Lepisosteus oculatus: one gene and its partners. The protein of the gene in region 2 interacts with the protein of the main gene of each other region in a pairwise test. Links are inferred from orthologs where the notes say so. Each region holds a gene or a part of one and is shown on either strand. Other genes may lie near its edges. The genes, in order: sntg2, dtnba and brain-enriched guanylate kinase-associated protein.

Region 1 (3,758 bases), about 5.0 Mb from region 2:
TCATGAACAAATTTCAAAGCGCAACATGAACAGAACTGCAATGTCAGTGTATTGTGAAAACAACACAAAATAGTATCAGTGCCATATCATTTGCTTTACATAGCAAAACGTAAGGTTAATGAAACATAGACTGCATCCCGTATAAAGGCGACAATTATGTGAAAAGGACATGAGTGGTATAAAAATAGGTACATTGATCTAACCATCAATCATCTTTTCTGTGATGCTTGTGGTAAAGTAAAAATGAAGAGTATAGATTGGAAAGTTCCAAGTGAAAGTGATAAAGGGTATTCAACTGCTCACACGAATGTCTCTCTGCCAGGCAAAGGCAGCTCAGTCCCAATTTCAACAGACTACCATGTAACATATTTCAAAGATTTTGTTTTACTGGTGCACCATGTGACAAAATTGCAAATTGACAGACAACTGCCTTATCAATTACAGCTGGTTAGGGGGTCCACATACTAGACAAACACCTTAACACAATAGTGTTGACTATCTCCTCAAACTCTGCAGTAGTTTGTGTTGATCTCCAAAGAAGGTTGAGACAGGGTTTCTCAGCTGCAGCTGCGTAGGCTCGTTAGACCCTTGAGTCATTTCTGCCAAGCCTGCCTTGCTGCTAACAGTGGCAAAACACTTACTGATTCCATGTGAAAAATTACTTCTCCCACACTTGATCGCTTCAAACCTGGGAATGCCATAGACATAACAGCATTCATCTTCAGTTTTTATCTTCAAAATTGATCAATCATAATGTCCCATTCACATAATTTTCTGTTTTGGTTGGTTTGCAATATAGGTTAACATTTGCTACTTTTTTTAAAGATGTATCTGTTGTATCTCATCATATATGCCGTACTCATTAAAAGTGATAAAAAAGCATATAATCATAATAACAGTAATCAAGAAAATAAACTTTTACAAATTGGGTGCCGATCAATTAAAGCATTTAGCAGCATAAACAACTTCAACTCAGAAAGAGGCAGTGTGGCTAATATGATGAAAGAGTCTTGTACTGTACTTGATTAAGCATTCTGTGTTATGTAAGTGCCAATATCATGGGTGTCTGTCACTTTACAATCCCTTTATGTGTTACGTTTTAACAAAATATCTACCACAATCTGAAGTATATATATGTGTGTGAAAAGGTAGAAATCATATATTTTATCAATTAAATGGCAGTGATTTTCAGACATCAGTCCATAATTAAAAAGTGGGGGAGGAAATATACAGAACAACAGAAAATAAGAATCTAAATCACATTTAAAATTCAATTAAAACTGTTCAATGTCAATCACATTGACACAATTTCCTGCACTGTGCTAAAAATGGTATAATTCGTCCTTTGATAGATAAAGTACGCCATAGAAAGAGTGTCTAGAACCTTTAAGACTTCATACAGTATATTTACACAAATACTATATAATATGGCCACAAATCTATATGCTTATTAATGTTATCAGTAGGACTATCATTTCATTTGTTCCTTCTTGTATAAACTCCATAATTACAATTCTTTCTCCAGTGGTGTATGATAAGGATTAAGGTTTTTATGCTCTGCAAGTTTGCTTGGACTTAGCAAGGCCATTTTCAATATTCGTTGTCTGCTGTAAATCATTTTCTGTTTGCTGTGCTATTCTGAGTCATTAGATGGCTTTGCTTTCTAGGCATACAGTAATGTAACACAGGAAATTTTGCAATTACTAATCTCAGTGTAAAGTATATTCAGGTTACATATTGTACATACTGAAAACTACAGTGCTTTTCTCTAATGGTGAAAGAAGAAAAATAATCCAATTAATTTAACAATAACTCAATTGGAGTACACCTGCGTACACTATTAAACTGTTTTTGTCTTTTAATTCCAGAAATTCATAAAATTAAATTGGAAACTTATTTTACATCAAGAGATAATACTATTTTATATAGATATAATAACTTAAATTGACATTATTAGCTACTTCATGCTCATAACATCTCAAAAAATATTTATCTTTTCATTCTTATATTTTTGTTCAGAATTTTTGAAATCATACCCCAGATACAATATTGGCAACATTGCATAAGTACTGAACAGCTTGATAAAAAGAAACAAAAGTTTGAAGGCTCTGTTCATAGAGTAAGTTTCAGTATTTCACTCAAAATAAATTAATTGTTTGTAGAAGCATTGGCCAAATACCAACATTAAGGAACATGTGTATCACAAAAGAATCAAAATGATTGTTTCTGGAACTGTAGCATCACATCGTTCACATGCATCACATTTATGTCTCCTAACTTTATTTCACTTTTCTAATTCATAAAGAAAATCCAGCAAATCACATGAAACATTCTTACTTATTAAATCATATTCTACACATTGCTTGAAGCATGCATCTTCCACTTTGAGCAACGGCACAAAAAAACTGAGATATAGCAATCTACTTGCCCAAGTTGGTACAAGAAGGCTGTCAGGGCGCTCAAGCAGTTCTGAAGGGTGATTCCCGGCCACGTTCATTTCCCATTCAGCTGGAGGCTTTGAACATTGAACTCAGAGGGTCTGTTAACAGTCATTTATCCAACAATGCCAGGCTAATGCAGGCTATTGATGCATCCTTCCCCAGATTGTAAGAAACAGAGGGAGTGAGAAAGATGCAGCATGCTGTTTGCTTGCAGACGGAGAGGAATTTAATGGGATTATACCCTGCTTGCCACCAGGATGGCGTCAGAGCACTTTAATTTGACATTGGCTTCAGGTTTACACACCAGTGAAGGAAATCGGCCAGAGAGCCCAGTGATAAGAGACCCACTCTCTTTAAGTTAACTAACTCCTCAGGGTATGTCTGCCAAGCATTTGCTTCTTTTGATGCTGCTGCTAGTAGCCAGCTGCATAATGTGCTGTGGATGAGAGCTGTGTGCTGCACAGTTCAATCTGTGTACAGCATGTTGCCTTCTCCACCTGCTGGCTTTCCAGTTCTCCTCCCATTTGCCGAGTGATGACATTTCTGTGTGTTATGTATTAACTCCTGAGTGTCTGTTTCTTAAAATAATTAGTTGCACAGCATGCAGCTGCAAATGTCTACCCTGGAAAAGAGTGCTATGGAAGTAGTATTTATAGACTCAAGAAAATAATGTTAGCAACTGCAATTTAAATCAAATGGCTTTTCAATTCTTATCAATAAAATCATTATATTTGCCTAATTCACTGGACTCATTGTAGCTCTTTAGTTGACACCCATACATGAAGATACATTTACACTTTAATGGCATACAAATCAGATACAGAGACAGTCATTTACAGTAGATTGCAGAGCAAAGATTTCAAGACAAGCAAGCAGGAATTAGTCAAATGAATAATTCTATAATTGAATTGAAACACTATTGTAGCTCAACAAACAAAATATGTTCAGTTTTGATGAAGCTAACAAAAAATTGTATGTAATTCAAAGAAACCATTGTTGTGTTATTACTTTATTAGAATATTTATTTAGAGGATGTGATTTGCAAGCATAACTCTGGTTTTGCTATTATAATTGCTACAGGCATTATGATAATAGATTTGTCTAGCTTTAGTTGCGTATTAATGAAAAATTAGCTAATGTGAATGTTATATTATGAACCTGGCAGTTGTAGGCAAATGAAATAAATCAGGCTAAAATTTCAAAGATAAAATCAGGTCCTGACTTCAGCTTCCCTTGCAACCACATTGTAATAATTACTCACCACTTATTGTCAGGAAATACATAAGTGGAAACACAATGGTACAATACATACAGTAG
Region 2 (3,758 bases):
TGGCTTTACACAACTTTTCTCTTTGACTTTTTCAGTTTGAACCGTTTCATGGGTTCTCAGTTTATTGCTTGCTGTGTCAGTTGTCTTTGGGTTGGACAAGGACTGTGCCAATATAATATTTTGAGCTGTATACCGAGGATATTCTGTGGTAGAAAAAAATGAAACCATGTGAAAAGCTGACCTTTCCTTCTCTCTTATGTCTCACAGGCTCCAAAGAGGAGTTAAAAAGAATGCTATCCAGTATATCAGATTTAATTTCACCCGGTCCTTCAATTTAAACATCTCCCTCCCCACTTTTGAGGCAGCAGAATCCATCAAAGTGATAAAAATGTCTTGAAATAGCATAACCCATTAGTAAAACACGACAAGTTAAGCCATCAGATTTAGTCAATGTGACCTGCTGTATGGTACACTATGTCATCAAACTACATCAAGTAAGCAGTTTAAACAGTTGGTAAGCAACAGGAAGTTGTACAGAAAGTATCATTCCCATTGAATTTATCATTTGCGACAATAAATGGTAAATATTTCATTATCAGAAACCTTTGATATAACCTTTTATCTTTGATAAAAAGATCTCTTAAAAATCAAGTTAGTTTGCATACTTATAATAACAATGGCAGAACACCAGATTGTCACTAGTTTTTAAACTACAGTACTGTATATGGAACTAAGATCACAAGTGCTCAAACAACTTAATCACAGAGTATTTGAAAGTTAAGCTCTCTGATCATATGGATTTCATTATGTATAATCACAAGTAAGCAGTCAAAACCTGTTTCTGATTTCTTCATCTACAGTATCAACAATGCCTTTCACCACTGTTAAACAGAAAAAGTTTTCTTTTTAGTATATTTTAGGTTTTAATGTAGGTTTTAATAAATTAAGTGTATGCTGATTTAGAAAATGTACAGTAGGAGTATTATACAGTCCTCATATACACGGATGCTTCATTTTTCATTATAATACTAATACATAATGTTACAATTAAAATTACTTTCCAATTTATATTAGTTGGGATGCAGTTAGAATTTTTTTTGTGTGTTTTGACTTGATATCTAATCATCTGTAAAGAGAATTTTGAGAAAGAACCTTGCAAGTCACATTGCATATGGTTACAGAATACATCACATTTCCAATACACTTGCATAAGAGACCAACACCTGGGTAGCTCAATTCTTCTCATTGTATTAAGTTGTCAGATCTGTGACGTTATTTGGTGATGACTGATGCTAAACCTTTAACTGTCCTCATTGAAACAGAAGTTAGAACAAAAGACTGCTGAGCTCTTCAATGGACAGTTCATTGAGCAGAGGATGAATAAGCAAGGAATTCTTATTCTCCCTTTACAAGATAATGGCACCCTGTCATGAACACATTTGTCTCAACAAAATGGTTGAGCCACACATCTACTAGACTCGTTTCACAAGAAGGTATTTGGAGTAACAATACTGGTAACATGGAGGACCAAGGAAAGATCCACAAGCTCAAGATAAATGTATTTTAAACCTATAGGGGGACAAATATTATTCTGATTAAAGATTGAAGCACTACTGGAGCCAGGGTTGCATCAACAAATGGGACACAGGTCTCAAAATGTTATTTCCACAATGATATTCCACTCAAATGGACATTTTATTGGAAAATTCTAACTTTCTAAAGAGATGAAATACTGTATATAAGTATATGGGCTCAATTATATGAGATAACATATGGGCCAACTAAGTGATTACTTGTTATAATATTCAAATAATATTTTTTTAAAAAAAGACATTTTTTTAAAATAAACTGCTTAGGTAGTAGAAAAAATATAAAATACAAAATTCAATTCCCAAAAACTTAAATACTGCAAAGTTTGCAGATGGGAAGGAGGCTGATACAAAGCAGGACCTTTTGAAAATGGAAAACAGCCAGGGACATTTAGCATTTTCAATCATTGTCGTCACATATTTACTCCCTAACTGTAAGTTTATCTGTTTTAAGTCTTTTGAGAACTACTCTTGATAGCTGCTGAAGTCTTTAAAAAGGTTGACAACAACAAGGCATAGCTTCCTTTAAATTGAGGATAAGAAATGAAGGTCTTGTATTCTCAAGATGAATGTACTTGAATGATTTGTAAATACATAACTATTTTTAATCATAATTCCTCTCTGGAAGAATAGTTGCTTTCTGGGATTTTTATTAAACTATTTTTAATTACATAAAAATGTTATTTATTTTTAAAAATATTTTCTGCTACACTTTTGATTTTTTTTCAAAAACTAGTTGTTCCTAAAAACTGTATGTATCTCACATCTGATGTACGTGTGCTTTACTAACACCAACATGAGACACAGAACTAGATTTCAACAGTACACACCACCCTTTGTCAAGATCCAGGAGGCTGTCAGCCATATTTACATAAGAACTACAGCCGTGTGATGCTGAGTCACTATTGTAGAAGTACCTGATAATTGCAGTCATTTTGTGTGCCTCCCATGACTGCTGACTCTGGTAGCAGCCACAGTAAACAAGTGGCTTCATGGATTTGACAACCCGGCTCAGTTAGATGTGATGAACCAGCTCTGGCCCCTGAAGGACTCAGTGAACCCATCTGCCTTTTTGTGTGCATCTCCTCAGGACATGGATATGCACAGCCAGAGTGAAAGAGAAAATAATGAAAAAAGAGACATACAGCCTACAGTTTCTACACCGTATTTCATGATAACATCTCACTGCAATGTTTTAAACAACAGTGAGGTTCTCAACACCTTAAATTTACATACAGAAAGGAGAATAAGTATATACACGGATCATGTATGCTGAATGTTAATTTCATTACAATATTGCACTGTATATCTTTAACACCATAACCTTCTGACAGCAATAAATTTGGCACTACAGTATGTGCCTCATTGCTTTTGCAGTTTATACTGGTAACCCTTTAACACATTCAAGAAATCAAGCCAAGATCTATATTAATGAGATAAAATAACAAGGTGGTATGTTTAGGCATTAGTTAGAAAATATGTATATGGCCTAACACGTAGCTTTTAGTGGTAAAATGATGGCAAAATCTCCCATATACAGTGGAATTTAAGCAATATAATCCAAAATGATACAATCAATCATACAACACCAAATAAAAAAAATATTTACTAAATGCAACGAACATTTAGTCATAAATAAGTTGGCTACAATCATTTAAGCAGCAGTACTAAAATATCTTCATTGATTTAAACTGCATAACTCTTAATTTATAGCTTCTTTCAAAAGCAAAGACTACAGCTGCTATCATAAGACAGCCAATGTTGACTTTAAGACAAATAAATGTTATGAAACAACAATGTAGAAGTTTTAAGGGCTTCAGAAAGAGCAGGTTCAAATTTCAGAACTGACTTTCTAATTTGTGTAGCTCATTACCATACCAAAACAGGCTAGGTGGATCAAATGGCCTCTTCTCATCTGTAACCATTCTTACGTTCAACTTGAATAAAATTTAAGCTAAACAAAATGAAACACTTCGAAATTTTTAAGTTTTTTTTGTTTGCAAAACCTTTGCATTGCATGCATTATACACATTACATGCGATTGCAATTCAGTATATGTACTGTATGAAGGTGTGGCATTTCCCCTCACTGTCAGCGGCATTGTAGAATTAGCCACTTCAAAACACACAGGTTTGTTTTCATCTGTATCAAGCTGTATAAAATAATATCATAATATAACATTATAAGTGTGACAAGGCCATTCAACCCATCTAGCTTGTCTGGCTGCTA
Region 3 (3,758 bases), on a different chromosome or scaffold from region 2:
ACTCAGGACAGCTCATTAATGTTAAGATTACATTTTATTCCAACATACTGACCACTAGTGTGGCAAAAATAATGATGCAATCACAGCTTTGAAACAAACCTGCAGCGAATGCCAGTGTTGCATTTAAAGACCAAAACATTCACGTTACAATTACAAGTTTGAAGTGCTCCCGATATTGAATTTCACTTAAATTGAAGGATAACATTATTGAGATTTTAACTTTCCCTTTTTTTGAAGGGGCAGTTTCAGTTACTGAACATCTATCCAATGGTTTTGCATTTCGAATTATGTTTAGGCACTAGTGAAAGAAAACCTAGAGGTTTATCCTTCAGTAAGACTGAATTAAAAAAACAATAAACAAGGCAGATCGGTGAATGGACATGAGAAAATCCAGCAGCTGAGGTCAAGGGCTGCAATTTGTCTGCCTGACAAAGATTTTATTCTGACCTTTATGTTTCTACCTGAGTGGAATTTTGTCTTAGAATGTCTTTTTTTCACATTTACAGTATAGCTGCTTCTCAGTCATGAGTGAGAACGGACTACGAAACAACTGGTCATGTCTGCAAATACTGAACGCACACACACACATCCACCCACACACATCCACCCACACGCGCTCACACACACACACAAACGCACACACAGTGTTCTGATGCAGGCATCCACAATGTTTACTGCAGCACTGGGGCACTCTCTATACCCCAAGCACATTTCTATCTTCATATTTTATTCATTTGCATGAAGGATGCAGTTGAAGCATTTCACTCAGACACGGGAAAAGTATGGTATGGTGTTCGCTGTATATAACTGGTTGTGCAGGCATTTTCTCAGTCCCTCGAACAGTTGCTAAGGTGATAGAAAAAACTGAATTCTAAGCAGAAACAAGAGAGATGTTCCATTTTTACTTCATCATTTACTTCATGTCTATGTCCTACATAATGAGGTAATCCAGCTGCCAAAAAATTACCTCTAGCTGATGGTATTTAAAAATCACAACAAAAGATCAGAAAAAAGAAATGCACTGGATGTGCATTATTAATGTAGTGCGCTTTCAGAGGCATGCTTCTGATTGTGGGACATACTCAATCTCTCACTCTGGTGCAAGAAAGCAGATCTGCTTGAGGCTTTAAAAAAAGACTATGAGTACCTCCCTCTACGCCCCCTCTGCAGGAGAAAGAGAGCTTGTCATTCATTTTTCTGCATATTTTTGAACTGCTTTTAGAAAGGAATGAAATTTGCACACAGCAAGCACAGCACCAAGATATAAGCGCCCCGATTGAGAATAGAATTGAAAACACATCCAAGATAATGAAAGACTTCGAGCAAGTGAGCTCAGTGGGTTAATTAATATGCTTGGGTCAAATTCTTCTCCAGGAATTAACGATAACTTGTCCAGATAAGGAGGTCAAAAAACAGTTATTTAAAGGGCCGTAAAGGAAAAAGTTATAATGCTTAATCATTGTCAAAGACTTCATGTTGTCATTCCTGCTACAGCAATTTGCGCTAATGTATTTTTTGCAGATATTGCAGTTTTAAGAATACAGTATATACATGCATTTATTTTTGTGTAACATAGTTATTAATTAATGGAGGTTGTTGATAGATAACATCAAGATTATAGCCTGAGCATTATTTTAATCAATAAAAAATAAATATGCCCTACATTTGTTGCTGAGTTGCAAACATTTTTGAAAGGGATATATCTGTAAGGTCAAAGGATGGATGAAAGCTGATATGAAGCAAATAATTGATAAAGAAAATGTAATCAGTGTCTGTAAGCAAGCTTTAAAACTATTCAACAAGAAAAGAAAAAAGGAAAAAGGGATGTCCTCAAAACATCAGATCCACTTCTAGTTCCTACATTTACTTCACATCAAGATACAGTACATGAGATGTTTCTTTGAAAGCTTGATACATTACAGGTATTTCAGTTTCCAAAATAAAGTGCTGTGTAGGCATTAATACAGTAAGTGCAGGAATGTCCGGTTTTGAACAAAATAAATCGTTTTACAAGTGGTTCAAGATGATCTTTAAGTGCAGTTTCTCAAAGGCTGAGAGGGTATGCAATTTTCTGAGAGGGGTTGTGTTTCATACTGTACATCCAAGAGCATGTACTCACCAAGCTTAAGCCCCTTGGCAAAGAAGTAGACCTGAAAGGCGATTTTTGAGTGCCTTGATGTCTGTTGAAGATTGGACTGGGGGACCTCATCTTTTCAGGCTCTTCCTGGATCTCATTTGTGGAGGATGTTCCTGCTTGTTCCCTCTCTTGTGGAGCATCTTTTTCGATTCCCTTTGGACTGGCTGCTTCAGGGGTGTCCTCGCTCCTTACGCTGTCTATGTCAGTCTCGAGGTAAGCCTTCCCAGCAGGCTCTTGCTGGTTCCCAGCTTCCTGCGCCCTTCTCATGCTTTCGGTTTCCTCAGAGAATCGGCAGACAGACAGTGGAGTTGTTGACTGAACATGGGAGTCCTTCTTGTCCAAAACCCTGAAGGCTTTCAGGCTTTGGGGATCCAGCACTCTGAAGGTCACCTCATCCAGGAACTGGGAGAACTTAAGTTTGGCTTCGATCTTTTGCTCTAGCACCGCTGACGTGGCATCAGAACCCTGACTGAAGGTCAAGCTCTGCTCAGAACCACTCCCAGCCCTCTCTGTCTCTTCCTGGCACTCGGACCGAGCGCAGCCCCTTCTGCCCGTACTGGGGCATGAGCTGCAAAATTCCCTGCTAGACTTTAGATGACCTCTAAAGATCTCCCTGTTGTTCCTTTCAGTGGAGCTCCTAATGAGGCATGTGACTTCTGAATCGGCACTGTTTGTATCACATTGACTGTCCTCTTCACTGGAGCTGCAATTTTTTGGTCTCCTGGTGGGGAAGAAGAAACCCGGGTGATAGTGAAGGGAGTTCTCCCTGTCACTGCCAGCATCTGTAAATGGCGAACAGGAAGAGGATGAGCAGGAAGAGGCTGTATCCTGCCTACTGCCTGCTGTCCCTGGTCTGCATTGCTGACGAGGGGCACCAGAAGCCACTTTGGCCACTCTGACTGAGCGGCTCTGCATTTTGGGGTTAGAGATGTGCAATCACTAATTGTGTGAATTGACAACTGAATCATGGTCCAGTGAGCGTCACTGTTTTTAAAGTGTTATTCACCCAATCACATACGGTACTTGTTCTGAATATCCAAATGGGCACAAACCCATCACCTCTCCCATGCTGACTCTACCTTCTTCATTGCCAAAAAGAAAGCCACACAGTTCACTGTTTTGGAAAAAAAAGGAAAGACCATTTTATGGCTTTGTGAATTTTTATACTATATGTATCCATTTTAAAATGACACAAGGGATCAATCAAAAAGATACTATTTTTCTCTCTGCATTTGCTAATTAGGCAGCCTATTGATATGTGATACAACAAAAAACAGTAGGTTTTCTAGGTCAGTGGCTCCACGGTATGGGATATTGATTGTAGATGCCACATGGTATTTTTTGGATGTGAGTGGTGAAGCGGAATTAGAGTGCTATAAATCAATGGCTAGAAATGTAGTTATGGAGTTCAGTGACATGCAGTGAGTGTTGTTTATTGTCTGCGACAGAAATCATCTGTCCTGGTTCAGGCGTATTAAAATGCCATTGATGGAGCCATTAATATCTTGTAAAGTGTTGAGGGAGTTCTATGTCTCAAGATGACAGGTCAAACAATTCACCTCATCATAGGTGCAGTTCCTAGGGGTAACAAGTTCACAGGATGTGTTGTAGTGGGTAGGAT

The links.
Region 1: the proteins of dtnba (region 2) and sntg2 interact in binary tests that used the Homo sapiens proteins (3 or more experiments, as listed by UniProt). The link is inferred for Lepisosteus oculatus from reciprocal best matches to the Homo sapiens genes DTNB and SNTG2.
Region 3: the proteins of dtnba (region 2) and brain-enriched guanylate kinase-associated protein interact in binary tests that used the Homo sapiens proteins (3 or more experiments, as listed by UniProt). The two-hybrid records come from large-scale screens. The link is inferred for Lepisosteus oculatus from reciprocal best matches to the Homo sapiens genes DTNB and BEGAIN.

What each region holds. Positions count from the first base shown.
Region 1 is NC_090697.1:42,477,412-42,481,169, forward strand, and holds the start of sntg2 (gamma-2-syntrophin), read right to left. Parts: upstream 2,904-3,758; 5' UTR 2,498-2,903; coding exon 2,429-2,497; intron 1-2,428. UniProt on the Homo sapiens protein: Adapter protein that binds to and probably organizes the subcellular localization of a variety of proteins. May link various receptors to the actin cytoskeleton and the dystrophin glycoprotein complex.
Region 2 is NC_090697.1:47,497,933-47,501,690, reverse strand, and holds the start of dtnba (dystrobrevin beta), read right to left. Parts: upstream 2,593-3,758; 5' UTR 2,524-2,592; coding exon 2,447-2,523; intron 16-2,446; exon of another isoform or gene 1-15.
Region 3 is NC_090703.1:11,631,327-11,635,084, reverse strand, and holds the start of brain-enriched guanylate kinase-associated protein, read right to left. Parts: upstream 2,492-3,758; 5' UTR 2,405-2,491; coding exon 2,120-2,404; intron 1-2,119. UniProt on the Homo sapiens protein: May sustain the structure of the postsynaptic density (PSD).